Linked DNA regions of Sus scrofa. Each later gene encodes a partner of the first gene's protein in a complex. Links are inferred from orthologs where the notes say so. Each region holds a gene or a part of one and is shown in the gene's direction. Other genes may lie near its edges. The genes, in order: SNRPG, DHX16, STRAP, SNRPF, GEMIN5, CWC15 and SART1.

The links.
Region 2: SNRPG (region 1) and DHX16 share a complex: the UniProt entries of both Homo sapiens proteins name them as parts of the minor spliceosome. The link is inferred for Sus scrofa from reciprocal best matches to the Homo sapiens genes SNRPG and DHX16.
Region 3: SNRPG (region 1) and STRAP share a complex: the UniProt entries of both Homo sapiens proteins name them as parts of the SMN-Sm complex. The link is inferred for Sus scrofa from reciprocal best matches to the Homo sapiens genes SNRPG and STRAP.
Region 4: SNRPG (region 1) and SNRPF share a complex: the UniProt entries of both Homo sapiens proteins name them as parts of the U7 snRNP complex. The link is inferred for Sus scrofa from reciprocal best matches to the Homo sapiens genes SNRPG and SNRPF.
Region 5: SNRPG (region 1) and GEMIN5 share a complex: the UniProt entries of both Homo sapiens proteins name them as parts of the SMN-Sm complex. The link is inferred for Sus scrofa from reciprocal best matches to the Homo sapiens genes SNRPG and GEMIN5.
Region 6: SNRPG (region 1) and CWC15 share a complex: the UniProt entries of both Homo sapiens proteins name them as parts of the minor spliceosome. The link is inferred for Sus scrofa from reciprocal best matches to the Homo sapiens genes SNRPG and CWC15.
Region 7: SNRPG (region 1) and SART1 share a complex: the UniProt entries of both Homo sapiens proteins name them as parts of the U4/U6-U5 tri-snRNP complex. The link is inferred for Sus scrofa from reciprocal best matches to the Homo sapiens genes SNRPG and SART1.

What each region holds. Positions count from the first base shown.
Region 1 is NC_010445.4:72,197,557-72,201,521, forward strand, and holds the start of SNRPG (small nuclear ribonucleoprotein G), read left to right. Parts: upstream 1-1,165; 5' UTR 1,166-1,287; coding exon 1,288-1,319; intron 1,320-3,965. UniProt on the Homo sapiens protein: Plays a role in pre-mRNA splicing as a core component of the spliceosomal U1, U2, U4 and U5 small nuclear ribonucleoproteins (snRNPs), the building blocks of the spliceosome.
Region 2 is NC_010449.5:23,205,074-23,209,171, reverse strand, and holds the start of DHX16 (putative pre-mRNA-splicing factor ATP-dependent RNA helicase DHX16), read left to right. Parts: upstream 1-1,298; coding exon 1,299-1,505; intron 1,506-3,236; coding exon 3,237-3,487; intron 3,488-3,819; coding exon 3,820-3,982; intron 3,983-4,098. UniProt on the Homo sapiens protein: Required for pre-mRNA splicing as a component of the spliceosome. Contributes to pre-mRNA splicing after spliceosome formation and prior to the first transesterification reaction.
Region 3 is NC_010447.5:56,734,090-56,738,178, reverse strand, and holds the start of STRAP (serine-threonine kinase receptor-associated protein), read left to right. Parts: upstream 1-1,289; 5' UTR 1,290-1,612; coding exon 1,613-1,724; intron 1,725-2,401; coding exon 2,402-2,537; intron 2,538-4,089. UniProt on the Homo sapiens protein: The SMN complex catalyzes the assembly of small nuclear ribonucleoproteins (snRNPs), the building blocks of the spliceosome, and thereby plays an important role in the splicing of cellular pre-mRNAs.
Region 4 is NC_010447.5:87,620,064-87,624,067, reverse strand, and holds the start of SNRPF (small nuclear ribonucleoprotein F), read left to right. Parts: upstream 1-1,204; 5' UTR 1,205-1,328; coding exon 1,329-1,331; intron 1,332-3,181; coding exon 3,182-3,307; intron 3,308-4,004. UniProt on the Homo sapiens protein: Plays a role in pre-mRNA splicing as a core component of the spliceosomal U1, U2, U4 and U5 small nuclear ribonucleoproteins (snRNPs), the building blocks of the spliceosome.
Region 5 is NC_010458.4:68,278,044-68,282,020, forward strand, and holds the start of GEMIN5 (gem-associated protein 5), read left to right. Parts: upstream 1-1,177; 5' UTR 1,178-1,262; coding exon 1,263-1,428; intron 1,429-2,221; coding exon 2,222-2,382; intron 2,383-3,086; coding exon 3,087-3,268; intron 3,269-3,977. UniProt on the Homo sapiens protein: The SMN complex catalyzes the assembly of small nuclear ribonucleoproteins (snRNPs), the building blocks of the spliceosome, and thereby plays an important role in the splicing of cellular pre-mRNAs.
Region 6 is NC_010451.4:27,044,481-27,048,480, reverse strand, and holds the start of CWC15 (spliceosome-associated protein CWC15 homolog), read left to right. Parts: upstream 1-1,200; 5' UTR 1,201-1,344; intron 1,345-1,375; exon of another isoform or gene 1,376-1,623; intron 1,624-2,585; 5' UTR 2,586-2,593; coding exon 2,594-2,724; intron 2,725-3,318; coding exon 3,319-3,431; intron 3,432-4,000. UniProt on the Homo sapiens protein: Involved in pre-mRNA splicing as component of the spliceosome. Component of the PRP19-CDC5L complex that forms an integral part of the spliceosome and is required for activating pre-mRNA splicing.
Region 7 is NC_010444.4:6,370,543-6,374,503, reverse strand, and holds the start of SART1 (U4/U6.U5 tri-snRNP-associated protein 1), read left to right. Parts: upstream 1-1,161; 5' UTR 1,162-1,258; coding exon 1,259-1,571; intron 1,572-3,630; coding exon 3,631-3,688; intron 3,689-3,961. UniProt on the Homo sapiens protein: Plays a role in mRNA splicing as a component of the U4/U6-U5 tri-snRNP, one of the building blocks of the spliceosome. May also bind to DNA.

The sequences.
Region 1 (3,965 bases):
TTTTTTTTTTGTCTTTTTGCTATTTCTTTGGGCCGCTCCCGCGGCATATGGAGGTTCCCAGGCTAGGGGTCGAATCGGAGCTGTTGCCACCGGCCTACGCCAGAGCCACAGCAACGCGGGATCCGAGCCATGTCTGCAACCTACACCACAGCTCACGGCAACGCCGGATCGTTAACCCACTGAGCAGGGGCAGGGACCGAACCCGCAACCTCACGGTTCCTAGTCGGATTCGTTAACCACTGCGCCACGACGGGAACTCCTCTAGATTAAAATTTTTGGAAACTGAGGCCCCCTCACTCTATTCCTTTGGTGCAGAGGTCGTTAACTGAGCTGTTACTAGAACCTTAGTTGTAGCATGACATCCTGTGGGAATACTAAAATACCACAGGTTCAACAGTGAAGCAAATACCTCAAAGCAAGTCACAAGATTTTTTTTTTCTTAGTGTGATTACCTATCATAGATCACCATAACGAATACAGTAATGAAAAAATTTGAAATACTGTAAGAATTATCAAAATGACACAGACACAAAGTGAACAAATGCTCTTGGGAAAATGGCGCTGGGAGATTTGCTGGACTCTGGGCTGCCTCAAACCTTCAATTTGCTAAATTAAAAAAAAAAAAAAAACGAGTTCCCGATGTGGCTCAGGGAGTTAAGAACCGGACTAGTATCCATGAGGATACTAGTTTGATTCCTGGCCTCGCTCAGTAGGTTAAGAATCCAGCGTTGCTTTGTCTATGGCAAAAGCCAGCAGCTGCAGCGCAGATTTGACCCACAGCCTGGGAACTTCCATATGCGGAGGGTTCGGTCCTAAAAAGACCAAAAAAAAAAAAACCGCAGTGTTTGCAGAGGACAACAAAGGGAAGAACAACACATGGAAGTATGCACACACATGCCAAAGAAATTTTTAGGAGCCTACCCCTCCAGAGCTTATTTTCATCTGGTAGCGTCAAGACAACTTTGCAACCCACAAAGACAATGAGTTAACCAGCGTCCTTCAAATGCTAGAGGCAGGAACAGCAACCCAATTACAAAGAGGAATATAAAGACTGGAGGCCCCACCCCTCCGCTCTAGCCAATCCCTGGCGACACAACGGAAGCTTGGGACTGATCTGCGAGCTCAGGATTTTCCTAAGTATCGCGACGTGAAACGTGAAAGCGGCCAACAATCAATTGGCTAACGGGATCAGTGACGTCAGACGCAAAGCACCGGGCCTACCGCTGGAGCGTGAGGGAGAACACGAATTCCGTTTGGAGGTTTCTTTGAGTTCGCGGAGTAGGCATCATGAGCAAAGCTCACCCGCCGGAGTTGAAGAAGTAAGTATGCATGAGGGCCGCGCATAAATGGCGGCTTCTTTGTAGGCCTTGAGTTCCTTGGATCCCCAGCCATTTCCGGAGAGTGTGTCTGCCGTGCTTATTGCCACTGGCTGCCGCCGCGATCCGGGCCACCGTCCCACGTTTCCGGGCCTGCATCCCGCGCAAATGTTGTATTTCGGCCTGGTGGGCATGCTTTTCAAAGACGTAAAGGCCCCTCCGTCTGCAGGTTTGCCTCCCAGGCCGGAGTTCCTGGCCGGGTCTCTGGCACTCGATCCTTCGTTACTTAAAGATCTTGAATACCACAGTTAGCTGAACGCCTTGAGTAGCATCACGTTCGAGATAAGGTGGTTGGACAGTAATTCTGTAAGGAACTAAGGAGGTGGATGGAATGGAATTGTTTTGATGGTATATGAGAAATTCAAAAGCTGCCTTCATCTTAGTGTGTTGGTGGTTCCTTTGAGCTTTAACTTAGAAATCCCGTTCTTGGGAGTTCCCGTCGTGGCGCAGTGGTTAACGAATCCGATTAGAAACCATGAGGTGGCGGGTTCGGTCCCTGCCCTTGCTCAGTGGGTTAAGGATCCGGCGTTGCCGTGAGCTGTGGTGTAGGTTGCAGACTCGGCTCGGATCCCGCGTTTCTGTGGCTCTGGTGTAGGCCAGTGGCTACAGCTCCGATTCAGCCCCTAGCCTGGGAACCTCCATATGCCGCGGGAGCGGCCCAAAGAAATAGCAAAAAGACAAAAAAAAAAAAAGAAATCCCGTTCTTTTTTCTTAATTTCTTGCACTTAGGTTGAACTTGAATGTGTGATATTTTGCTCTGTTAACTGGAATGCGTGAGAACATTCATTTTTCTCTAATTAGAGAAGGCTCTTTTGTTGGGGGGGTGTTCTTGGTAAGATTTCCTTTTTGATTCTTAAGATATTAATGAGAGTTTTTAATTACCTTTCTTTTCTTATATGTAGATTTCAATAATTGTGAGATCCTGCCAGGTCTACCTCCAAAATGACTTTTAACTTTTTCTTCCTTACCATCTTTTTTTGGAGTTCCCTCGTGGCTCAGCCGGTTAAGGATCCAACATGGCACTGCTGTGGTTCAAGTTCAGTCCCTAGCCCAGGAACTTCCGCATGCCACCCACGAGGCCCGAAATCTTTTTTTTTTTTTGCATTTTTATATCTTCCGTCTGCTTTTAATATAATTCTGTGGTTCTTAACTGTGGTGTAGAGAGTCTGGTTCTACCAGCATTTAGTAGGTAGAGGCCAGGGTTCCTGCTAAATATTCTACAGTGCACTGGACATCACTCAACAACAGAATTATCTGGTCCCAGATGTCAGTATGCCAAGGTTGAGATACCCTGGCCCAATCATATTCTTCCTACCCCTCTTAAAAATCATTGCCAAAGTAGTCTTTTTTTTCCCCCAGTTTTTTTGAGATAAAATTGACCTACAGCACTACGTAAGTTCAAGATGTACAGCGTAATGGATTGATTTACACATGCTTCAGTAATCTTAGCCATGCCTGATACTGCTGCAGTAACTTATTGCCATCTGCATAATAAAGTCCAGACTTCTTGAACCAGCAGTAACGCTCCTCCATTTGAAATCCAAGCACCAAATATTACACACGCTAATATTTGAGTACCATGTTCTTGGGCCAAACTGAACCATTTGATTTTGCTCAAACTTTTTCACTGCTGAGTGACTTTGGAAATTTTACTTAACCTTTCTGGGCCTTGGTTCCCCATCTGTTAATTGGTGGTAATAACAATGCATAACTTAAAAAGCTTTCATAAGGATTAAATAAAATAAGTTCATATGTGTTATATTTGTGTTTTTTTATAACATCCTAGTAAAATTGATTGTTTTACATGTCATACTATATATTTTTATTTGTAAAAACCTGTCTTCTTACACCTTCTTCAGGCCTCATGTCTTATTTATCTTTGAATTCTCCATGATATACATTAAAATTGAATGAAGTTTCATATTTTCTAGCCTACAGCAAAGAGGTAAAAACTGGTTTGACTTGTTGGCTTCATATTCTTTTTGTCTTTAGGGCTGCACGCACGGCATATGGAGGTTCACAGGTGGGGGGTCGAATGGGAGCTGTAGCTGTAGCCCCTGGCCTAAACCACAGCCACACCAGATCGGAGCTGTGTCTGTGAGCTACACCACAACTCATGGCAATGCCAGATCCTTAACCACTGAGTGAGGTCAGGGTCCAACCTGCATCCTCATGGATACTCGTTAGATTCACTTCTGCTGAGCCATGACGGGAACGCCCTTGGCTTCATATTCTCATACTACCCTGCTGATATGGAATTTTGTTGCTTAATTCAAATTATTTAAAATTTCAATATGCATTTATTTTGCTAAAGTATACTTGGGTGTTGGAGAATATCCTGAACATTTAAGATTGTTGCTTAATATTAAATAAAACACTATGTATTGTCTCAAATATAAAATAAAATATCCATTGGATTGGATATGGTTTGATTACCTTCTGATTTCTTCACAACTTTGTTTGGTTTTTAAAATAACCAAAATATAACAAAATCTTTGTTTTTCTGTTTTGGTCGTAAGATTCTGTCATTGAATATTGGGTCGGGGAGTTCCTATAGTGGCTCAGTGGGTTTAGACCCTGACTAGCATC
Region 2 (4,098 bases), on another chromosome or scaffold:
GATGTGGTGCAGGCCGGCAGCTGTGGCTCCGATTGACCCCTAGCCTGGGAACCTCCATATGCCGCGAGTATGGACCTAAAAATCGATGAAAAATGAAGTTAAGCAGACGGTGGAGTTCCCTGATTCGAGCGGGTGAGGATCTGGCCTTGTACTGCTGTGCAGCAGGTTAGATCCAGGCACAGGGAACTTCCAAATGCCTTGGGCGTGGCCAAAAAAAATTAAGTAGCCACTGATCAATCTCTCAAGCTGTCAGGAAAGAAAAAAAAAGCAAAATACATTTTGTGCATTAGTTTGGAGATCTTCTAAAATAACTTTCTGAGAAGGCACTGAGTTTTTTCCTTCAGATCCCAAATTTCTTCCTACCTAGAGTCCTGCCTTATGCTTAACCTATATTCATTTCTGCAGAAAGTATCAGTCCTAGCAAAGGTCACTCCTAATCAGCACGGGCGAATCTGTAATAAGTGGACCGATCTTCTAATTTGAAATGGACTTCACCGCCCTCCCGCAAACACACACTCACAAACCTTGCGTTATTTTTGGTTTCATAGAATTTACATGTTTATTTTATTTTTTTATTTTTTTGTCTTTTTGCTATTTCTTGGGCCGCTCCCGCGGCATATGGAGGTTCCCAGGCTAGGGGTCGAATTGGAGCTGTAGCCACCGGCCTACGTCAGAGCCACAACAACACGGGATCCGAGCCGCGTCTGCAACCTACACCACAGCTCACGGCAACGCCGGATCGTTAACCCACTGAGCAAGGGCAGGGACCGAACCCGCAACCTCATGGTTCCTAGTCGGATTCGTTAACCACTGCGCCACCACGGGAACTCCTACATGTTTAATTTACATGTAAATTTCCCCCTCCCCCGCAGCCTCTGTAAATTCATCACGGGATTCGTTTCGGATTGATTTTTGCTATATCCCCGGGGACTGAAACTGTACCTAACGCATATTAGGATCTTAGCATTTGCTGAATGAAATACCTACAAATCACCAACGTGGTGGGGGAGGCAGAGAGATTAACTAAGGGAGGAAATGAAACTTTTATCCCGTACACTTCCGCGAGATTTGGGCCCGTTCAGCCACCGTAGTGCTTAGGCCGGAAAAGTGGACCACTTCCGGCCTCCGGGGTCCGGGAAGATTGCTTTGGACTGTCAGCAACCGAACCCCGAAGTGCTAAGGCAGCTTCTTTGGGGAGGAGAGGTTCCAGCCCGGGGCTCCAGGCCTCCGACCCGCCCGGTCGCCAGCGTGGCTGCTGGAGATACTTTCAGGGCCAGGAATAAGGAGCATAGGTCGCCATGGCGACGCCGGCTGGGCTGGAGCGCTGGGTGCAGGACGAGCTGCACTCGGTGCTGGGGCTGAGCGAGCGGCACGTGGCCCAGTTCCTGATCGGTACCGCACAGCGCTGCGCCTCTGCGGAAGAGTTTGTGCAGCGCCTGCGAGACACTGATACCCTGGACCTCAGCGGGCCAGCCCGGGACTTCGCCCTGAAACTCTGGAACAAGGTGCCTAGAGGGGCGGGGCCCCGGCGTGGGAGAAATAGGAGAGGGGGTGGAGCAGGGAAGGGGTCCCCAGGTTGTTTGTCCCAGTGAGGCTGGGCTGGACGCGCGTTTGGAGAATTAAGTTAACTCAGTTAACAGGCGTTTATCCTTTGTCCGTTATCGCCTGCGGGTTGAGGACGGCTTAAGTACGTTGGGTTAAGCGGTATAGAGCAGTGTTCTCAAACTTTTAACAGGTGTAGGATTCCTCTAGAGCTTTTGTTAAAATGCTGCTTCTAATTCAGTAGGTCTGGAAAGGATTCTTCGTTTCTTCATTTCGAAATCTAACAAGTTTCCAGGTGATGCTGATGGTCCACAGACCACACCTTGAGTAGTGCGGTTATAGAAGAAATGTGTGGGGAGTTCCTGTCGTGGCTCAGCGGTAACAAACCCGACTAATAGGACACAGGTTCCATCTCTGGCCTCACTCAGTGGGTTAAAGGATCCAGTGTTGCCGTGGGTTGTGTAGGTAGCAGACACCGGCTCAGATCCTCCCTTTCTGTGACTGTGGTTCAGGCCGGCAGCAATAGCTCCCATTAGACCCTAGCCCGGCTGGGAACTTTACATGCCACAGGTGTGCCCCTAAAAAGAAAAAAGAATGAAAGTATTGAGCTTGTTTACAGGATGGCAGATAACCTGATGCATCCGTCCTACAAGGTGCTTAGTGAGAGATGAAATTAGAACATTGTGATGTGAGGGTCAGGGCTTTTTGTTAATCTGTTCACCACTGTATCCTTGGAGTCTGGTACAGTGCCAGGCACGTGACAGGCTTCTGCAAAACAATCCTTGTCAGTTTGTCAGTCCTTGTGTTGGAATGACATTTTTTTTTTTTTTTTTTTTTGTCTTTCATCTTTTCAGGGCTGCACCTGCACCATATGGAGGTTCCCAGGCTAGGGATCCAATTGTAGCTACAGCTGCTGGCCTACGCCACAGCAGCACAGGATCTGAGCCACGTCTGTAACCTACACCACAGCTCTAGGCAACGCCATATCCTTAACCCGCTGAGCGAGGCCAGGGTCGAACCCGCATCCTCATGGTTGCCAGTCAGAGTCATTAACCACTGACCACAACTGGAACTCCCTTGTATGGGAATGACTTAGTCATTGGAAAGAAGGGAGGCAGAACAGTTGAGAACTGTTTGAGAATGTAAACTCCATGAGGATAAGGATTTTTCTCTTAATGTATCCCAGTATCCCTAATGCCTAGCAGTGGGTGCACAGGACAGGCTTTAATGAATGTTTGTTAAATGAATTACTGAAAAGAAGTTTAGAAGCTGAGCGGTCCCATTCAGGCAGGTGGGCCTGGTGCAAGGTCTTGGGGAAGGGAGAGAATGAAGGCCAGTTGAAGATCAAGTTACTCCTGGAGTTCCCGTCATGGCTCAGTGGTTAACGACTCTGACTGGCAACCACAAGGATGCGGGTTCGAACCCTGACCTCGCTCAGTGGGTTAAGGATTCATGAGCTGTGGTATGGATCATAGACGTGGCTCGGATCCCGTGTTGCTGTGGCTGTGGTATAGGCCGGCAGCTGTAGCTCTGATTGGACCCCTAGCCTGGGAACCTCCATATGCCTCAGGTGCGGCCCTCAAAAGACCAAAAAAAACAAAAAACAAATTACTCCTTAAATTAGGAGCAGGGCTGAGTAGGTAGGCAGGGATCGGGAGTTGCCCACACCCCCTTGTCTTCTCCTCTTCTGACAGGTCCCACGGAAGGCAGTGGCAGAAAAGCCAGCTCGGGCAGCTGAGCGAGAGGCCCGAGCCTTGCTGGAAAAGAACCGATCCTACAGGTTGCTGGAGGACAGTGAGGAGAGCAGTGAGGAGGCTGTAGGCAGGGCTGGGAGCAGTCTCCAGAAGAAGCGGAAAAAACGGAAACACCTCAGGAAGAAACGTCAGGAGGAAGAGGAGGAAGAAGAGGAGGAAGAAGTTCCTGAGAAAGGAAAGAAGACTACAGGGTAAGTCAGAAGTAGGGTGAGAGAGGAGTTCCTATTCTTGTTCAGTGGTAACCAACCCGACTAGTATCCATGAAGACACGGGTTCGATCTCTGGCCTCAATCAGCGGGTTGAGGATCTGGCATTGCTGTGAGCTGTGGTGTAGGTCACAGACGTGGCTTGGATCCCGAGTTGCCATGCCGTGGTGTAGGACCCTTAGCTTGGTAACTTCCATGTGCCATGGGTGCGGTGGCCCTAAAAAGACCAAAAGTGGGGGGTGAGAGGATGGGGCGGGTGGATAATGCGACAGCAGGCCTCGGGATGCCCTTAACTAATCCTCTGGGCTGGGTTGCAGGGGGAATAAACCACAGACGGAGAAGCCAGAGTCGGAGGATGAGTGGGAGCGGACAGAGCGAGAGCGCCTTCAGGACCTGGAGGAACGGGATGCGTTTGCGGAGCGGGTTAGGCAGCGGGACAAGGATCGAACTCGCAACGTCCTGGAGCGCTCAGACAAGAAGGTTTGTAGGAGCAGCACGTTCCATAAATCCCCAGGAAGTTGCGTCTGAGGTTTGGTGTGATTGCAGAAAGTGACCTTTCGGAAGACAGGAGCTGCCTCCAGTGGCGTCTTCCGGCT
Region 3 (4,089 bases), on another chromosome or scaffold:
ACAGTGCCACACAATTGCCACTAAGGAGCTCACAATTTAAATGTCAACAGAGTGTGTGTGTGCATGTGTGTAGGAACTTGGGGTGAGGTTGGCACAGAGAAAACAAAAAAGATAGTGGAAAACATATATAGTAAGTGCTGTACTATAAATTAATGAACAAAATGCTAATGAAATAGAATGGGGAAGCACTTCAAGTCTCCATTCAAGTAATTAGACTTGAACGAAGATACATGTTTACTACAAAAAGATGAGGGAGAGGGAAACATTTGCAGACATTTGTGCTGATTAGATATGTATTGGTATGTGCCAAGACATTATGGCCTGGGATAAAGTAGTGAAAGAGACCACAAAAAAAATCTCTGGTATTTTCTGTTGACATCCTAACAAGCATTAAAGGAAAGAAATAACTTGCCCAGAAAAAGGACCCTTCTTGCTCAGGTCAGTTTTTGCATGAGCAATCAATCCATCAACAGTTCTGCTACACCACGGAGTGATATCCAAAGAGGAGAGCCTGCAGGAAGACAACACCAGTATTTCTATTTACACTGAAGTTTAAGGTTCTTCTAATATTTCTATTCTTCTCTATGCACTAATATGCAAATAACTCACAAATTATTCACTATCGCATATTTGGGGGACGGACGCAAGTTTTATTGATGTGGGTATTCATCAAAAAATTTGAGGACCATTGCTCATGGGTCTCCCAACGTCCTCAAAAGATAAACTAATTTAACTGTTTTTAGAGTCGCATAACCCTCACGTCTGAAACACTAACAATGCAAGGTTACACAGCACAAGGGGTGACTGGGAGAAAGACTTTTCTTAAGGGCCTTACTTGTAGACAATCCCAGAGGAGCTGACTATACAACTGCTAACAAAGATTGGAAAAAAAATTCTTAGACGGTGTTTGCTGGTTTGGGCCACCGCTGGAAACAATTCTGGTTGTTCAGTGTAGACGTCTAGATAGCACAGTCCAAACCACTGGACGGCTCAGTGCGTAAACCACAGATGCGGTCAGATTCGGGGTATGACTGAAGCAGGACCCGCTTCCGCACGCCCCCAACTCGACTCCAAACGGCTCAAAAACAGAAAAGCACCCCAAGCTGCTTAGAGCTCAGCGCTAGGATTTTCACCCAGTGCCTGGAACGCGGCCAAGAGCCCTGCGTAGCCAGCGTGGAGCCAGCATCACGTGCTCAACCTGAGCTGATCTCGCGCCTGCGCATTGCGGTCGCTCTCGCTCCAGTACGCCTCTTCTACCCAGCGAACCCGCCTTCCCTCCTGTTCGTCACTTCCGGCGGAGGGTTAGTGTCGTCACTTCCTGCGAGTACCGGTGTGGACGGTGGGGATCGTGGCTGCCGGTTTTCCTGTTCTCCCCCTCCCCTACTCTCCTCCCTCCCTCCCTTTCCCTCCCTCGGCGGCGGTCGACCGCCAGTCGCACACTCCCTGACCCACCCCTAACCCTTTCCTGGTTTCGGGGCCACCAGATTGGCCTTTTTCTGTTTCCCGGCCCAGCGTCAGGGCGTAGGCCTTGAGTGAGAGGCGCTGCCGCGGAGAAGAGAAAAGACGAGACGACCCTCAGCTCTCCTGCGGGATCGCTCGGCTCGCCGCCGCCATGGCAATGAGGCAAACGCCTCTCACTTGCTCCGGCCACACGCGGCCTGTGGTGGATTTGGCCTTCAGTGGCATCACGCCTTATGGCTATTTCTTAATCAGTGCTTGCAAAGGTGAGCAGGGCCGCTGGGCTCAGATGGTTGGGACTGGGCGGAAAGGGAGTGGGGCCGGCACTTCCCATTGCCGAATGGATTGCGGCTTTTGAGATTAGTGGGCTGGTAGGGCGAGTAGTGTTAAGGATTGCGCAGCTGATGCCAGGAGAAGCTTTGGTAAGTTATGCCCCCAACCAAGGCTTCTCATTTTACCTTTTTTGCTATTTCTGGATAAGCTTTACTGTGCACTTGCCCAGACGCCCCGGCCAACACCGTAAATATCTTTAAAGGATTTGGGGAATGCAGAAACTAGGCCAGGCTAAGTAACACTTTATTTTACAAAGACTTTCCACTTCTACTATTTCATTGGATATTCTTCTGTGGTATGGAATTTTTCATTTCCAATTTTCAAGTGGAAGCTGAGACTATTAAGTTTGTCCAAAATAAGGTTCACGTCTAGATTGTTTTGTTGCAGATGAATAGTCTTTCTGCCGCATTTCAAGTCCTTCCCAGAGAGAATGGCCCAGTTCTTCAGTTAATTTATTTCTGGATGTGCCTTAGTGACCCCAGTGAGTGAACAGTTAGACAACAAAAGCAGTTTTCAAGTTTGTTATTCATCACTGTTTGTTTTAAGTTCGGATCCTAGATTTTAAGTAATTTGAGCTTCTACATCACATGTTTTCTTACATATTTTTTAGATGGCAAACCTATGCTACGCCAGGGAGATACAGGAGACTGGATTGGAACGTTTTTGGGTCATAAGGGTGCTGTTTGGGGTGCAACATTGAATAAGGATGCCACCAAAGCAGCTACAGCAGCTGCAGATTTCACAGCGTAAGTGTAGCCAGAAATGGCCACCTTTACAGTTCTCTGTGAATTGTGTTCTGAAATGATCAATAATAAAAGTTCAGTAAAAGTTATTCATAAAGTTCTCATGCACTGCCTAACGTAGAGAACACATGTTGTTTTGATGTCACCAAAATTCCGCCCATATTTTATCTGCTGCTTTCTCAAAATGTTCAGAGACTTAAATGACTTAGTTCTGTATGTCTGGACTGGGACCCAGGAATCTGCATTATTAACAAGCACTTCAGATAATGAATGTTGATGGTCATGCTGGCAAATACTGCTCCACATGTTCTAGCTGAATAATACCTTATACTCCTTAACTTCTTAGTGCTTGATGCCCCACATTTTTAGCCCAGTTTCACTCTCATTTTTGTTAGACATATTTAAGATTCCCAAACTCAGTTATTTTTCATTTTCTAAGTTTCTAAATCATTCTTGATTTTTCTCTTCCATCTAGATTATCATATTTGTTGATTCTGCCAATAGAATGTTTCCTGACCACATTGTTTCTTGTACCTCTGCCACTACCTTAATGGTTTAGGTTCCTAAACTGGTCCTTTCCCATCTCTTCATCAGCCAGTTGTCTTCCTGGAGACAAATAACATAACACTTCTTTACCTAAAGATCTTTGCTTCTGCTTTGTCAGTGGCCCATGACCTTGGGTGTACATTACAGTAACCTGGGAAGCTTTTAAAGTACTCAGATGCATGTGTCTGAGAAGCTCTGGCTTAATTGGTCTGGAGTTGGAGTTCCCAACCTAGGTTTTTTTGTTTTTTAGTTTTTTTTCTTCCCTAAAGTTTTTCTGGATGATTCTGATGTACAACCTTAACCACTAGCCTAAAGGTTAAATTTCATTGTTAGCTCTTTAAAATTTGGCCTAATCCTAGTTCTTGGGCATCATCTGGCACTACACATCATATGCCCCATCATTTGGCTATACTAAATCTAACTGTTGCCAGAATATGCCTTACCTACTCTGATTTTTTTTGCTTTTGTATATGATATTAAAGTGACTTGCGATGACCCACTTTCCCTATCTGGGCATGGGTCACAGCTTATGTAATCTTGGTACCTCTAGTTCCTGATTGTGACTTAGTAAACAATAAAGTGTTTAAGGCAGGCAAGTCAAGGGCTGTTGTACGTGGAATACTCCTTATTAGATTTGAAAGTCTGGAGAGTAAAATTGTCTTGTTGATTTTTTTTTTAATAGAATTTCACATTAAGAAGCGATTCTAAATGTGTTTCTCCTTTGTTGTAAGCAAATTAAACATACCAAGTTTATTATAAAAAATGAAGGCAGATTGATTGAGATAGTGGATACCTGACTGTGCATTTGTTGAAACTCTAGACCTCTGTACCACAGAGTGAGTTTTACTATATGTAAGTTTTTAAAAAATAAATTTAAGTTTTAAGGAGTTCCTGCTGTGGCACAGTTGGGTTAAGAATCCAACTGCAGGGCTCAGGTTGCCGCAGAGGTAGGGTTTGGTCCCAGGTCCCTGACAGTGGGTTAAAGGATCTCACGTTACCGCTGCTGGCT
Region 4 (4,004 bases), on another chromosome or scaffold:
CTCCACAATACCGCAACATTTAAATCTCAATTTTTTCTTCTTTCTTCTTATTTGTCTTTTTGTCTTTTCAAGGGCCGCTGCCGTAGCATATGGAGGTTCCCAGGCTAGGGGTCTAATCCGAGCTATTGCTACCGGCCTACACCACAGCCACAGCAATGTAGGATCGCAGCCGGATTGTGACCTACACCACAGCTCACGGCAACGCCGGACCCTTAACCTCCTTAACCCGCTGAGCAAGGCCAGGGATAGAACCCGCAACCTCATGGTTCCTAGTCGGATTTGTTAACCACTGAGCCACGACGGGAACTCCATAAATTTCAATTTCAAATTCAACTCCTTAGGGCTGCAAAAACAAAAAACAAAAAAGAAAAAAAAATTTTTTTAAAAGAATGTATATATGTGTATGATTGTGTCATTTTGCTGTACAACAGAAACTGGCACAATGTTGTAATTCAGCTATACTGAATTTATATGCAATTTATTTATAATATATATTACATGTATATAAATTTATATCCAAAATGTTTTAGATATATATATATTTGAAAAAAATAAATCCAGTATGAGGACTGTAGTGGGCCTCTGCTCGCAAAGCACAAGAAACAGGTGGACCGGGAGGCCACCACACCGTATTTTAGTCTCTGTCTGACCTCATCTGAAAAATATTCTGCAGTTGACTTTCTTCCGGTGCGTTTCACCTCCTTAAGTCTATCTAGTCTTGCTTCTTCCACTTCCTCTGAGATGGGGTGAAATGAGCACTACAGAATAGAGAGCCATCAGGTAGAACGGGACTGTGGCAGAGGAGTCCCCATGGCTCAGGATCTGTGGGAAAATGAAGAAGAAACTTGAGAGCCCCGAGCTCGTTTTCCCAGGTGTGCAAAGCCAAAGGAAACTCCACCAGCCAAGTTGGCGAGAAATCACGTCCATTCTGCAGGACAGACAGCAAACCCTCGAGGCAGGCGAGCAAACAGGCAACTCGAGCCACCTCTCTGCCTTTGCAGTGCCGCAGGTATCAGACCCATGCTGCTGAAGGTTTCCTATTTCCTGCCCCCGCCGGGAAGGCGCTCGGAAACTCGAGCCTGCTGGTTGCCAGGAGACAGGCCCCAGTCACTTCCGCCAATCAGCACGCATCTTTTTGCATCCAATCACAGAAGCCGGAAGAGCCGTAGTCGGAGGGGAAAGGTCACGCTGCTATTTGGCGGCCATTTCTCTGGAAGCTTGGTGGCTGGGAAGTTGCTGTAGCCAACTCCAGTCCACGAGGGCCGGACGGCGCTGAGTCGGCGGCGGGTAGTCTGCAGCATCTGCCCACTACAGCAGCAGTAGTCGCGATGGTAAGGAGAAAGAGAAGGTCAGAGTCGCCCGTGTGGGGGAGAGAGAGAGAGAGAGAGGGCGGGAGGGCGGGTGACCAGCTTCGCCGGGCCTTCGCGCGTTTCCCATTCATCCGCGTGAGGCCCCGCGCAGCCTGTGGCCAGCCCCTTTCTGCCAGTTCTGGGTGTCTGACGCACGCCCTCCTTCCCCTCCCTAGGAATGTCCCCTTCCCCCTCTTCTTCGTTTGAATCTGAGCCTGAGCTGCTCTTGCTGCCTGGGACCACAGAGTTGGAGTAAAGATGAAGCGGTTTTTCACGTACAGCTTACAGCACTCCAAAATCCGCTTTTGTCTGGTGATGCTGGGAAGCCCTGCAGCCCTTTGGAATACTGAGCCCGAGCTTTGAGCATTCATTTGTTCTCTTAGCAAATTTTTACTGAGCTCCTGCTACCTGTCAGGTGTGTTCTAGGAACTAGGACTATAGGGCGAGAAGTACTGGTGTGGCCCCTGCTCCAGTTTAAGTCGGTGTGAGAGAGAGAGAGACATTGATCAAATAACGACAAATACATAATTTCAAATAAAGTTAGTGCTAAGGAGGAAGCACACAGGATGCTATGAGGGGGTACCATGCTACGTTAGAAGTGTTTAAGGATGGCATCTTTGGGAGAAGGGATTTAACCTGAAACTTAAACGATATGAAATACACACCCTTAAAGAGGCGGAAGAGTGTATACACCAAGCTCAGGAAACATGAGCATAGACTCTGAGCCTCGAAAGAAAGCCTGACCAGTTGGAGGAATTGAGAGAAAGCCACAGCTGCTTGCTAGGATGGAGTGTTGGGCAAGTATTAGGCAGTTTTAGGAGGTCTGAGTTCTACTCCCGGGTCTACTTTGGAAAGCCATCAAAACATTTTAGGTAGAGATATGATGTGATAAAAAATACTTGCCGTGTGGCTAATAAATTGGAGAAAGAAAAGAGTGAAGACCATAGAACTATTTGAGATCACTCTGAGTATGCTTATCCTAGAGGGGTTTAGTAGCCAAGTTTCTTGGTTCTTTTCTCTCTTTGGGTGGATGGGCCAACAGATGAAGGAAGGGGGAAAAGTCTGAATTCGTTGGAGATACTGTTGCATTTGCTGAATAAACAAACATTAAGTGATTGATTGCCTATATGTAGGAGTCACTGCTAAGTCAAATAAGATCCAGGCCTACCTTTTCATAGTGAGAGACTCAATTATGATCTGCCCCTGCCTCTTCAGTAACTTCATACAAAACTAACTTTTATGTCCCTGAGATCACCTTGCCGAGTCATTCTTCCCTCCTTTTGCATAGGTAGCCTCCTCTGCCTAGAATAGCCTCTTTCCCTCTGGAAATATCTGTCATCCTTTAAAACAGGCATTTACTTACTTCAGGCAACTCTTCCATTTCTCTTAACACTGGATTGTTTGGTATCATGTAATAGCATTCTCCTCTTACTACATTACAAAGTAATTGCCCACTCGTGTATGTTTTGACCCTTCCCTCCCACTGTAGGTCTCTTAAGGACAGGGACTGTCATCTGCCTTTTTTTTTTTTTTTCTTTTTTTTCTATTGCCTTTTCCTTGGTTTCATTATATTTTTGGAACAGTGAGTGAATGTTTCTTAAGTGAACATTGAATAAGTCTTGATGGGGTTGATGAAATTGACTGGCTGGATATTTCTTTGAAGTTCTTCCACAAATAAAAGTGAAAATTATGTAATAACGTGAGATGGAGTCAAGAGTTTGCTTCATTTGGATACCACAGCATATTGGTAATTTGGCAGAAAAGAGTAGGTAATAGAAACCAAGCTAAAGAAACTTATTCAGTTGGGTTCTTTTTTTGTTTTTGTTTTGCAGAGTTTGCCTCTCAATCCCAAACCTTTCCTCAATGGGTTAACAGGGAAGCCAGTGATGGTGAAACTTAAGTGGGGAATGGAGTACAAAGGCTACCTGGTGTCTGTAGATGGCTATATGAATATGCAGGTAAGTGGAAGAGTTATGAAGATCATTAGATTGTATTTATTTTTCTTCATGTGACTTCTCAAAGGTTTGGTGTGACTTACAGGGATATAATTAATTGACAAACAAAGCAAAATTAAGGGGTCAAATCAAGGCTAAGGAGGATGTTATAATTTGATGAACTTTGTATGAGACATATTAAAAATTCAGCCACAGGAGTTCCCCGTCGTGGCGCAGTGGTTAACGGGCCCGACTAGAAACCATGAGGTTGCGGGTTCGGTCCCTGCCCTTGCTCAGTGGGTTAAGGATCGGGCGTTGCCGTGAGCTGTGGTGTAGGTTGCAGACGCGGCTCAGATCCCGCGTTGCTGTGGCTCTGGCGTAGGCCGGTGGCTGTGGCTCCGATTCAACCCCTAGCCTGGGAACCTCCATATGCCGCGGGAGCGGCCCAAGAAATAGCAACAACAACAACAACAACAAAAAGACAAAAGACAAAAAAAAAAAAAAAATTCAGCCACAGATTTGATTCCCAGGTGGTTAAAAGTAAGAAGAGCTCAGGCGTTTGATTCACAATGTCATAAGAAAAATATACTGATTTGTGGGGAAAGCAAAACATCCCAGCACTTGGTCCGAGAGAACCTTTTCCAGTGAAATTCGTGTCTTTTGATAAATGCTAAATGTACAAATCTAAGTAATTTGATAGAAGCAGTTCTTAAGAGAGAAG
Region 5 (3,977 bases), on another chromosome or scaffold:
TGTACAGCACAGGAAATATAGCCAATATTTTATAATACTTTTGAATGGAATCATTACAAATTGTGAATCGTTGTACACCTGAAATTAATATAATATTGAAAATATTTGATAAATAAATGAAAACAAGAGTTCCCGTCAGGGCGCAGCGTAAAGGAATCTGGTTTGTTCCCTGGCCTCGCTCAGTAGGTTAAGGATCCGGCGTTGCTGTGGCTATGGCCTAGGCCAGTGACTACAGCTCCGATTCAACCCCTATCCTGGGAACCTCCATATGCCGCGGGTGTGACCCTAAAAAGCAAAAATAATAATAGTAGTAAAATAAATAATTGAAAATAAAGAACAAGCAGTTCAAATACAAAGTATGATGCTCCAGGTTCACCTCCAAGAGCTAAGAGTTAATAATCGTCAGGCACTTGCTGCCAAATATGGCCAGTAGGCATTTGACTAAATCTCATGTATTCCCCACAGCAATCCAACAAGGCCTGGATTATCATCTTCCTTCTTCAAATGAGAAACAGGTTTAGGATAGGTTAAAGTCTCAGACAACTGGAAAAAAGAGGTCAATCTAGGGTTGGATGCCTCCAAAGTTATGGTCGTACCCACATCCAAATATATTTGACCTCCCTTTATTTGCAGAGATATCTCAAATTTTATTTGCTGGGTATGCCGGAGTTCAAGATACCCAATGCAAACATGCAATAGGGAGTAGAAGAGTGTAAGTACAGAATCTGAGCATTTTAGGATGTTTGAGCTGGAAGGGAACTTCCGTTCTTTTTCCTCCACAGCACTTAACATATAGTCCCTTCACAGAGTTGACGGGTAATCAGATCAAAAGAGTCACTATTCTGCTTTTACTTGAGTATCAAAAACCCAGAGACAGAATTTTCACCCAGTTGCGGAAACCCTTTAAAAAAAATATTTGATGGGATAGGGGTTGAATAGGTCCAGGGAAAAAAGCGTTCTAACCTCTTAATTGCTGTGAGAAGTGAAAAATGCCTAACCCCTGGGCTGGGCTCCAGCCGCCCTAGACGCTCCAGCCGCAGGCGAGGTTCCGCGGCGGAGCGCCGCGCTCTGGACCCCGCCCTTCCCAGCCCAGCGACACCAGTAGCCGAGCCAGCGGTGCGGCCTGGACCTCCGCGCGCGCCGTAGCGGCGGGCCCGAAGGGGCGGGGCTCCGAGTCAACCCCGCCCCTTCCTGGCTACAGCGTGGGGCTACGAAAGGTCTGCGCAAGTAGTTGCTTCCCTCATCCCTGGGTGGCAGTGATCATGGCTCAGGAACCGCGCACGCTGCCGCCCTCCCCTAACTGGTACTGCTCCCGATGCAGCGATGCCGTGCCCGGGGGCCTCTTCGGCTTCGCGGCACGGACCTCCGTCTTCCTTGTCCGCGTGGGCCCAGGCGCGGACGCGATACCAGGGACGCCCCCATTTCGAGGTAATTCCCCACCTCTTGGCCCCAGCCCTCTTGCCCTTCCTGAGTTCCCTGCAGGCTCCGAGTGGGCATTTCTAGCCACCCCCATCTCTTTAGATGAGGAAACTGAGGCTCGGGAAGGAGAAGGGTCTCCTTACGGCCAACTAAGCTGACTCGCGTCCCAGTCTACAAGGCTGAGCTATACACCACGCTGTGGCCGAGCGGTCCCGCCTCCTGGCGCTCTCACGTGGATCCTCTGCTTACTGAAAAGTTAACCCTGTCTCTTTTCAGATATTTAGAACATCTAGGCCTTCCTCCCCAACCCAGTGCGTGCGGGCCCCCTGAGAGCTCCTTGGGGTTGAGGGCTGCCTAATAGCTGCACGCCTTAAGGGAGATCTTGCAAATTTATGATACTAATTTCTGTAAGATGAAGGACTTGAGCCGGATGCTTTCAGGCTCCAACCCAGGTTTTGCTTATGCCTTAGGATATGGGATGCCAGATATTTATTCTGTTCCAAACGATGTCTGGCTAGATCTAGATAAGAATCTCTTTTACTTGCTTCCACTGAGCTGCTCCTCAGTCTGAGAACTGGGCATATCAAGGGATATGAACAGCATTTTATAGATTTGAGAAGACTGAGGCCCAAGGAGATAAAAAAGACATGTCTAAACCCAGGTAAAGGCAGTACCAGCACTTGGGGTCTCTAATTGTGAGTTCTTCCATGGGCTAAGTGAAGTCTCAATCACCACTTAACAGTAAGATTCTGCCAAGGAAGCTTAGGTAGCACTTTAACCTGGAATCTGATTTTGCTTGAAGTCATAGGGGAGTTGGTGGGACACACCGAAAGGGTCTCTGGCTTCACATTTTGTCATCACCTGGGTCAATACAACCTCTGTGCCACCAGCTCTGACGATGGGACTGTGAAAATCTGGGATGTAGAGACAAAAACAGTTGTGACCGAACATGCACTCCATCAGGTACCGTGGCTTACTAGTTTCTCAGGCCATTATTATATATCTGCCAGAGTTCTCTTGCTTCAAGTATAGTTTTGCTAGCTTATCTGTGCAAGTAATTGTTTTCGTTCATTAGATAAGCTCTATATGGTAAGATACTTAAAAACTTTTCTGGAAGGAGGTGAATATAAATAAGAGGTCAGCAAACTGCACTGCTGCCTCCTTTTCCAAACTGTTTTACTGGAATATAATCACAGTTGTTCATTTAAGTACCTTCTACAATTTTAAGTATTGGCTGCTTGCATGCGACAATGGCAGAGTTAAGTACTTGCAACAGAGACAGTACGGCCCACACAGTCTAAAATATTTACTCTCTGGTTCTTTACGTGAAAATGACTCCCAATATAAACTATAAGTGAATGAAACTTGTTTCCAAACTAGGTGATTAATTGTATATCTGCTTTTTGAGAGAATGTAGGAAAGGAAAGAACTCCTTTTTAGTAAGAACTTTGCATTAATCTATAAAAGGAAAAAAAAAAATGTAAATGGTCCTTTGATCCCCAGTAGCCTAAATTCTCCTATCATTTGGTTATGATGTAGTCTTGCTATACAAGTGGAACTCACAGTATATATTAAGTACCTGTCATGTGCCTAGCATTGTACAGGTTAAAAACTAAAAATTTAGCATTGACAAATAAGAAGCAAATAATTTTTGTTTTGTTTTAAAGCATACAATATCAGCATTGCATTGGTCTCCTCGAGTAAAGGATTTAATAGTATCTGGAGATGAAAAGGGAGTAGTTTTCTGTTACTGGCTTAACAGAAATGACAGCCAGCACCTGTTTATAGAACCCAGGACAATTTTCTGTCTTACTTGCTCACCTCATCATGAAGATTTAGTAGCCATTGGGTAAGTACTGTGCTGCCATCTGTGTGGATGGTTTAGTTTTGTTGATGATCTTATTTCACATTGCTTTACCTTCTCCTGTCCCTTCATTCCTTAGAGGAAACCATCTACAGGTAGTCACTCTCCCTAGGTCCCTGGTATCCCTCTAGGTCCTCAGTCTCTCTCATTCTATTTTTGTTTCCTTGGTTTCCATGATACTGTACTTCCCTCATTCTCCATAACCCATTTCTTCAGTCAGCCTCCAAATGTCAGAAATGTCCTCTTTCACCTTTTTTTCCCTCCATGTTTACCCTTGGACATAAAATAACATTTACCTCCAGAGTGTCAAATGACTAAGCTCTGGCATTGGGATCTGTTTCCCCAGTGACCAGCAGAGTTGTTTACACAGCTGCCTGAGTGGGCACTCCCCGTTCCCTCACCACTCCATTTACTTCTCTCCCAAAGCTGTCCTTTCTCTAGTTTGAAGACTAGTCATGAGCACTAGAATGTAGGAGAGAAAGTCCAGCTGCAGTGAATTCAAGAGACTGGGAGGTGAGGTGGATATGCATGGAGACAACTTTTTCACAAAGTTTTTTGTGAAAATGTGCATAGACATGAAGCCAGAGGAGTTATATGGAGGTCAGGGCAGTGTTATATGGAGGTCAGGGCAGTGTTATATGGAAGATAATAAAGGCATGGTTTTTATGCTGATGGAAATGAGGCAGAAAAGGGG
Region 6 (4,000 bases), on another chromosome or scaffold:
GATGGTGGCTTGGACTAGGGTAGTAGCAGTGGGAATGAAATTTAGGGTATATTTTGAAAGTAGAATTGGTAAGACTTGCAAATAAGTTGGATGAGACAAGTGAAGGAAAAGGAATCTAAGAGGAAACCCTGGGATTTGGGTTCAAGTAACTAGTATGATGGTAGGTAGTGTCCTTTACTGAGATGTCTAAGACTGGGGGAGTAATACCTTCCTAGAAAAATCAAGACTTGCATCTTGAAATTTACAGGGAAGGGAGTTTTTCTACCCTTTTGTTTTGTTCATTTTAGAGTTCAAAGAAAGAATTCTGAGGGGGGGAAAAAGCTTTTTTATGTTCAATTTTAATGAGCTCTTTACATTTGAAACTAAGCTAAGGGAGTTGGATTTTCATTTGTTTAAGTATCTATTGAGCCAAAGACTATGTGATTAGATATCACGATAACCACGTTAAACTGACCAAACAAGATCCCTGCTCCCACAGTGCTTTTGGAGGTGTAAGAAGGACAATTGGTGATTTTTTTCCCTTTCCTGTTCGTTGCCTTATTAAAACTTCACCTAACGCATGAGTAGCCATCTTATAATTGCATCTAGGGCTCCTGGCAGTTGGGCCCACCGTTCTAAACGTTCAATGTCGGTTAATGAATGAATCTCTAATAGTGACATCTCCCCTCCCGCTAGAACTTAGGCTTTAAAAAAAATTACAATTTTAACAGTCAATACGAATACAACCTTTGCTTTGAAGACTAACATTTTTTGCAGGAATGGTACCTTTATAAAGATCGTGGTTGCCCCCGTACATATTTGTTCTTTCTTCATATCCAATTAAAAGAAAATACTAGTCTTTCCGTAGCCCAACTCTCTAGGCTTGCTGGGTCTAGCTCAAAGATTAAGCAAGCAGGAGCCGTTGGATTTAAACCGTTTGGTATAATCCTTTTCTACGCTCTCTCTCCTTCTCTCTCGGTAGCCGGGGACGTGGTGTCGGCTACCCGGGGCTTTCCGTCCACGCAGTACCGGAATGAAGGCGTCTGGGAGGGGGTCGGGAAAGGAAAAGACGGGAGAGACATTAAGTAATTGGTTCTCGAAGGTATAAAATGATGTTTAGGGTCTACTCAAAGCACCGATTTCAAACGCCCGCCCCCTGGGCTGTTTAAGCCCCGCCTCTTGCTGTCGTCACGCCGACTTCTCCCTTGGCCTCTGCCGATTGGTCCCTGCCTCCGCCCCTGAAGAGGTTAGGGTTTGCTTCCGGGTCTTGGGCTTTGGCCCTGGGCGCAGGGGTTTCTGGGAGCCGAGAATCTAAGTGGTTTCTGAATGATCTCCGGAGGCTGGTGCGTTCGGACCTCGGCCAACGTGAGCTGCTGGGGGAAAGCAGACTGGGGGGGGGGGGGGGGAGGACAGTTGGGGGCGGACGCGGAGAACCGACTGCAGGCAGAGGAGTTTTCCGGAGCGGCAGCGGGTTGCGGAGCCCAGCGCCTGTTGGACTGGGGACGGCCAGTCCCGGGCCGGCCGCGGAGAGCGTAGCGTGAAGGTAGCTCTACAGGCTGCGTTAAGCGGGTCTGGGCGCCCCCAGCCCCTCGCCAAATCTGGCACGGGTGAAGAATCGCCGGGCTTTCCGATGACAACCCGAAGGTGAACTCCCCAGAACCCAGAGTGTAAATAACGATGGTGTGTGGGAGGCGGCGGCGCCCCCAGCGGCCCGGAACCCAGTTTCACCCCCACTGGATATATTCCTCTCCCTTTTTTGAAAATCTAGAGAAGTATGCCAGCTGCCCCAGACACTTGCTTTTCCGACGCTTGAGGGAGGTTTTAGTAGCCACATCGGCTGTGCAGTGTTTTTTAGTTGCTTAAAAGCAGAAGTAACATAAGGAAGGAGTCCCTGATTTGTAGTTACCAGAGTCCCGTGGGGGTGGGTTCCTGTGTTTTGAGCATCCCTTAAATTGTAACTTGCAAAAGTTATGATTTATATTATATTGGCTGCTGTAGGATAAAATTGAAACAACAAAAGATTGTTGGGGAGCTTTGCCAATGTAACTGTCGTCGAAGTTGAGCACACTTCTTCAGGACCTTCAGTATCTGTCAATGATTTGTTTTTTTAGATATCTTCTCTGTTTTTGTAGCTGCTAGCCTCTTTTCTGCAGTGTGAGGTTTAGATAAAATGGGAACCTTAAGGAGTCTGGTGGAGTAAGGTTGAGTTGAGATTTTTTTAAAAACTGAGACACGGCAGTACTGTATTTTTGCAAGGGCTTTGACATGTCAAGTCTCTTAATTTCATGATAATCCCATGAGGAATAGTCCCCATTTTACAGATGACGGAAACTTAAGCTAGTTGGCTTGTCCAAGGCCACAGAGCCAGAAGGAGAACAGGAACACAGTCTCAGATCTTCATGACAGAACTTTTTGTACTAAATATCTGCATATTCCCGCTACACCCTGAGCTTCACTGTTTGTTTTCATGAGAACTTTTGAGATCATTTTAAATAAGTTTTGGGGAATAAGTTAGGGAAATTTTTTCCCAAGGATGGATATTGATTAATACTTTATAAAATGATAGTTTGTTATGTTGAAAGTAACTTGGCACTTTTTCTTCAAAGCATAAAAAATGACGACGGCAGCTAGGCCAACTTTTGAACCTGCAAGAGGTGGGAGAGGAAAAGGAGAAGGTGATTTGAGCCAACTCTCCAAGCAATATTCAAGTAGAGACCTACCCTCTCATACGAAGATAAAATATAGGTAATGAAGCCTTTTATTTTTTTTTTTGTTTCACAAAGGAAGACCAAATCTGTTAAATGGTATGGTCATAAGATAATAGTGTTTACGTTATTATCACTTAGTAATCTATTTTCATAGGAGTAGAATGCATTAGTGTTTATAACACTAAAATCATGCGCTATGATTGTAAAATGCTACAAGATATTCCTTAAGCAGAAATTGCAATTAACTGGGAATTTCCATAAGTAGATGGAGCAATAGCTGATACATTATCTCAGAGGGACGTGCACTATCAGCACTAATCAATATGAGATTAAGAGTATTATTGTAACAGAGCCCTGAGTTGACATAGTTACAAAAAGTAAGGACATTTTAATCAACCTGCACCCTTATTATGGGAAAGTATGTGATTTAGCTTGAGGTTCTTGAAATATCAGAGACATCACAGGAGCCTCTTAGTAACCCTCAGATTAGGATAGTGATCTTGTCCAGTTTCCCTAATGGGACTTTATGTTTCAGGAACTCAGGACAAAGTTGCTTTTCACAAGCTGTCTTCTATGACTACAGCCGTGTGTTTTTAAGAAGTATTTTTGCCCTGGTTTGTTTCTGCTTTAGACAGACCACTCAGGATGCCCCCGAAGAGGTTCGGAACCGCGACTTCAGGAGAGAGTTGGAAGAGAGAGAGAGAGCTGCTGCAAGAGAAAAAAATAGAGATAGGCCGACCCGAGGTACCAACACTCCCTAGACCCCTAGACTACCCTACACCCTGGACACGTCTCTCATGACATTGTGTTGACAGTAATTTTTCTTTCACGTGGTAATTAGAATGGATTACTGTTTTTGTTTGCTTGCTTTTAAATATTGGTGTGAACTTTAAGTTTCTTAAAAGACTGGATCAGATTAGGTTAGGATAGATTAGATTGGATTAGATTAGATTAGATTAGAGATGGTAATGAATTTGATTCCAGTTCCATCTTTTTATGTTTCTATATGGAAAGAACTAGGTGATCTGGGAATATTTAGCAACCATTGTTTCAGTTCGGATTAAGGTATTTTCACAGCCAGACTTTTTGAGGCCCCATTGTTTCTGTCTATGAAATTCTCCATGGAGTTAACTATTGTGGCTCGGCTGGTTCAAAACCCAGTGTCATGAGGATGCTGGTTCATCCCTAGCCTTGCTGAGTAGGTTAAGGATCCTGTGTAGGTCGCAGATGTGGCTCAGATCCCCTGTGTGGCTCAGATTCCCATTGCTGTGGCTGTGGTGTAGGCCAGCAGCTGTAGTTCCAATTCGATCGCT
Region 7 (3,961 bases), on another chromosome or scaffold:
CCCCCTCCCTGTGCACAGCTCTGCCTCTGCTCCTGAGGTGTGAGCATGGCATCTCCAAGAGCAACAGCGGCAACTTGCCCTAGAAATGCTGGGTCCTAGAAAGTCAAGAGTGAATAGGACAGAATGGCTTCTGCCTTTGGGAACTCCCAGTTCTGGGGGGGAGGAAAGCGGAACTTTAAAGGGGAGCATAATCACAGACAGATGGGCCTCCAGATGGGGCAACTGGGAGGTGAGGGGTGTCAGGAGGGATGGAGAGATTGTGTGAACAGAGTTTTTGTTGTTGTTGTTTATTTGGCTGTGCCTGTGGCATGCGAGAGTTCCTGGGTCAGGAATTGAACCCAAGCCACAGGAGTGACCCAAGTCGCTCCAGTGACAGTCCCGGATCTTTAGATCTTTAACTCGCTGCGCCATAGGAGAATTCCTGTGTAAACTGAGATTTTAGCTTCAAGCAACTTCAAGTTAGAGCTCCTCTCAAGAGGGAAAAAAAAAAAGCAGCAGCAGCTCCCGCGAGCGCGCTCTCTCTCTCTCTCTCTCACACACACACACACACACACACACACACACACACACACACACACACACCCCGATGTGCTAAATTTTGCGTTCGATTTCAGGGGTTCACAGGCATGCAAAGGCCCATCTCGAGCTCCGTAGCAGTCAAAGCGCACGTTAAAAAAACCCAATTCAGGGACCGTGGGAAGGCAGCGTTTGCAGACAATATTAGTTGTGGGGGCTGGGAGGAGGCTGGGTTGTGGAGCTGAGGGTCTCAGGAGCAGAACGTGCTCCGTCCTCCTACACCTGATCGGCCACGACCCCAGGGAGTCTACTAGGAGGACTTCTGCTGGAGCGGCGGGCGCTGCAGTGAGCATCCCGTGGCTGAGGGTGTGCAAGCGGAGGGAAGCCAGGGAGGCCATGCTGGCTTAGATGGGCCCTAGGTCCTTCAAATTCTGGGATACGGTCTTCCCCGGACTCGAACGCGCCCCTCAAGCTTGAGCGCACGCGCAATCCGACCACTATGTCAAAGACCGCCGCTCGGCCAGTGCCGGCCGCGAATGCGCAGTCGGGCCCGATCCCAGCCTTCCCATGAGCCTTTGGGGCAGCTCCGAGGCAAAGGACGGAAGCAGCCGCTCTTGGTTTCCGGCAACGCGACGGCGCAGCCGGGCCCGACCCGGAAGTGTTCCCATTTTGCGCCGTCGGGGCTCGGCGGCGGCGGTGGCGGCGGCGGCGGCGGCGGCGGGGCTCGGGTGGACCTACCACCATGGGGTCGTCAAAGAAGCACCGCGGGGAGAAGGAGGCGGCCGGGACTACGGCAGGAGCGAGCACCGGGAGCGCCACCGAGCAGCCGCCTCGGCACCGGGAGCACAAAAAACACAAGCACCGGAGCAGCGGCGGCGGCAGCAGCGGTGGCGAACGACGAAAGCGGAGCCGGGAGCGTGGGAGCGAGCGCGGGAGCGGGCGGCGCGGGGCCGAAGCGGAGGCCCGCAGCAGCACGCACGGGCGGGAGCGTAGCCAGACAGAGCCCTCCGAGCGCCGCGTGAAGCGGGAGAAGCGAGATGAAGGCTACGAGGCCGGTGAGGGGCGGGGCCTGGGCAGGGGGCGGGGCGATGGGGAGGGTCTCAGGGTGGAGGGCCTCGGGGATGGAAGCCAAGCCCACAGGCCCAGCCATCCCCAGGCCCGTCGTCAGCGCATTTGGAAGGGTCTTGTTTTGATTATTTGGGATTAAGGGTTGGCTTTCTCTGCTAAACTCCGTGAAGGTGGAGATTTTCTCTGTTTTCCTTAACTGACACATCACAGGCACTCGCTAAATGTGTCGAGTGAACGCATGGAGTGGTACCATCGTGTGTAGAGGCAGGAGGACACCTGGTATTGGGCAGGTTATGTAGAGCTCATAGCAGAGACATGAGGCAGGGGTCCGAACACAGAGGCTCCTGCAAGCCTGTTAAGATAATTGAATTTTGTTGGCGTTCCCGTCCTGGCGCAGCGGAAACGAATCCGACTAGGAACCATGAGGTTGTGGGTTCGACCCCTGGCCTGGCTCAGTGGGTTAAGGATCCTGCACTGTCTTGAGCTGTGGTGTAGGTCACAGGTGCAACTCGGATCTGGCGTGGCTGTGGCGGTGGTGTAGGCCGGCAGCTGTAGCTCCAATTCGACCCTTAGCCTGGGAACCTCCATATGCCAGGGTGTGGCCCTGAGAAAACAAAAAACAAAAAATTTTGAACTTTGTTTCAAAAGTAATAGGGAGCCATGAATTCGAGCTGGGGAGCGAGTTAGTCGTATTCACGTTATCACAGAGAACACTGTGTTGAGAACTGGGTAAAGAGCAGTCAAGACCCATAGAGGAGGTAAGGACTGGCCATGGCTGGCACCAGGGCAGCAGCAGCGGGATGGAGAGTCGTTGACCCATTGGAGAGGTGTTTTGGAGGAGGAGGTGACAGAGCTTAAGCACTTGGATGACAGTGGGAAGGAGAAGAAGGAATTGAGGATGGTCCTTGGATTTTGGCTGGTGTGACCAGGTGGGTGGTAGTGTTGTCGACGGAAGTTGAGTTTGGAAGAGAAGCAGATTTTTTGGAGAGAGACAGTGAATTCAGTTTTGAGGAGTGTTGCATGAGGCACATGGGGAAACTCAGGGCTTGGGCAGGACAGAGCAGTTTGAGAGTCATAAGGGTTCAATGGCAAATGAAGTCCCTTGAGAGAGTGAGGATTGAGAAGCCAGGGTCGGGGGCAGAACCTCAGGAATGTCTACGTTTTAGTAGCAGGCGGAGCAAGATGGTACAAAAAAGGAGGTTGGATGTTCCCCAAAGCAAGAATACCATAGCATCTCATGTCATGGGATCTGTGGGCGTGATCAGTGGTGTCACACACCACAGGAGATGAGGCAAAACCAGAGTGGCAGAGAATCCATCGGATTTACAGACAAGGAGGCTGGCGACCTTGGAGCGAGCACGGAGGTGCTTGGGAGTCAGGGTCCAGGTGGGGTGGGAGGGAAAGACGTAGGTTGCGAGGTGGCCATGCTGGAGGGAGGAGCTCCAGCCGATGGCGTCCAGCTTCTGTGTGTGGCATTCTGTGTGTGACATTTGCTGTTTATGAGGTGGGTGAAAGAGCTCAGAAGCGCTGCTTTATTTCCTGTAGCATCCTCACAGCACAGGCGCCAGTAAGTGTATTTTTTGACTGTGTGAATTACACAGAGAGAACACAGATATGCTGCCAACATGGGCCCTGCCCTGTGAGCAAAAACAGACCTGGAGATGGCCGTGACCGTGCTGTGGAGTGCAGGGGAGAGGAGTTGGTGCTGATCAGGAATCAGGACTCCGGCCTCTGATTGTTGCGTTTGGATAGCATCTTGCTAATCAGAGTGAGGCCAGAGAGGGCCGTGTAGGTTGTAACAACAGAATACACAGAGGTGGAGAGGTGGCAGAGTGAAGGATGTGGCAGGTTGGACCTTTTGGATCAGAAGGTGTGTCGACAGCCTGGGAGTCAGGTAGGAGGAGCCCCTGGGATGGAGGAAGGCTGCTGTTCCCTGATGTCTCGGGGCAGATGGGGGACCCTCACCTTCAGCCCTGCGGCTGGAGCCAAGGAAGTGGCTTCTGGGCCCCGTGTTCAGCTCCTGAGCCTCTCTCTCTCTTGTTCCAGCTGCCAGCTCCAAGACTAGCTCGGGCGATGCCTCGTCACTCAGCATCGAGGAGACCAAGTGAGTACTGTCACCTTTATGCTACTGTGTCTTCTTCTGAGACGGGCAGCTTTGGGGGCAGCAGGTGGGTGAAGCTTTCTCATCGTAGAGCCTTCTGCTTGGGATTTGGAAGTGCCATAGAAACCATCTTAGCCAACGATTTGCATTACAGAAGTGGACACTCAGACCCAAGAGGAAGGATGGCATTTTCCTGGGTAGGGGCAGGCCAGGCCTTCCGCCTAATGCAGAGGCCAGTGCTCTTCTGAGCGCTGGGTCAGGCCCTCGGTTTGGGAC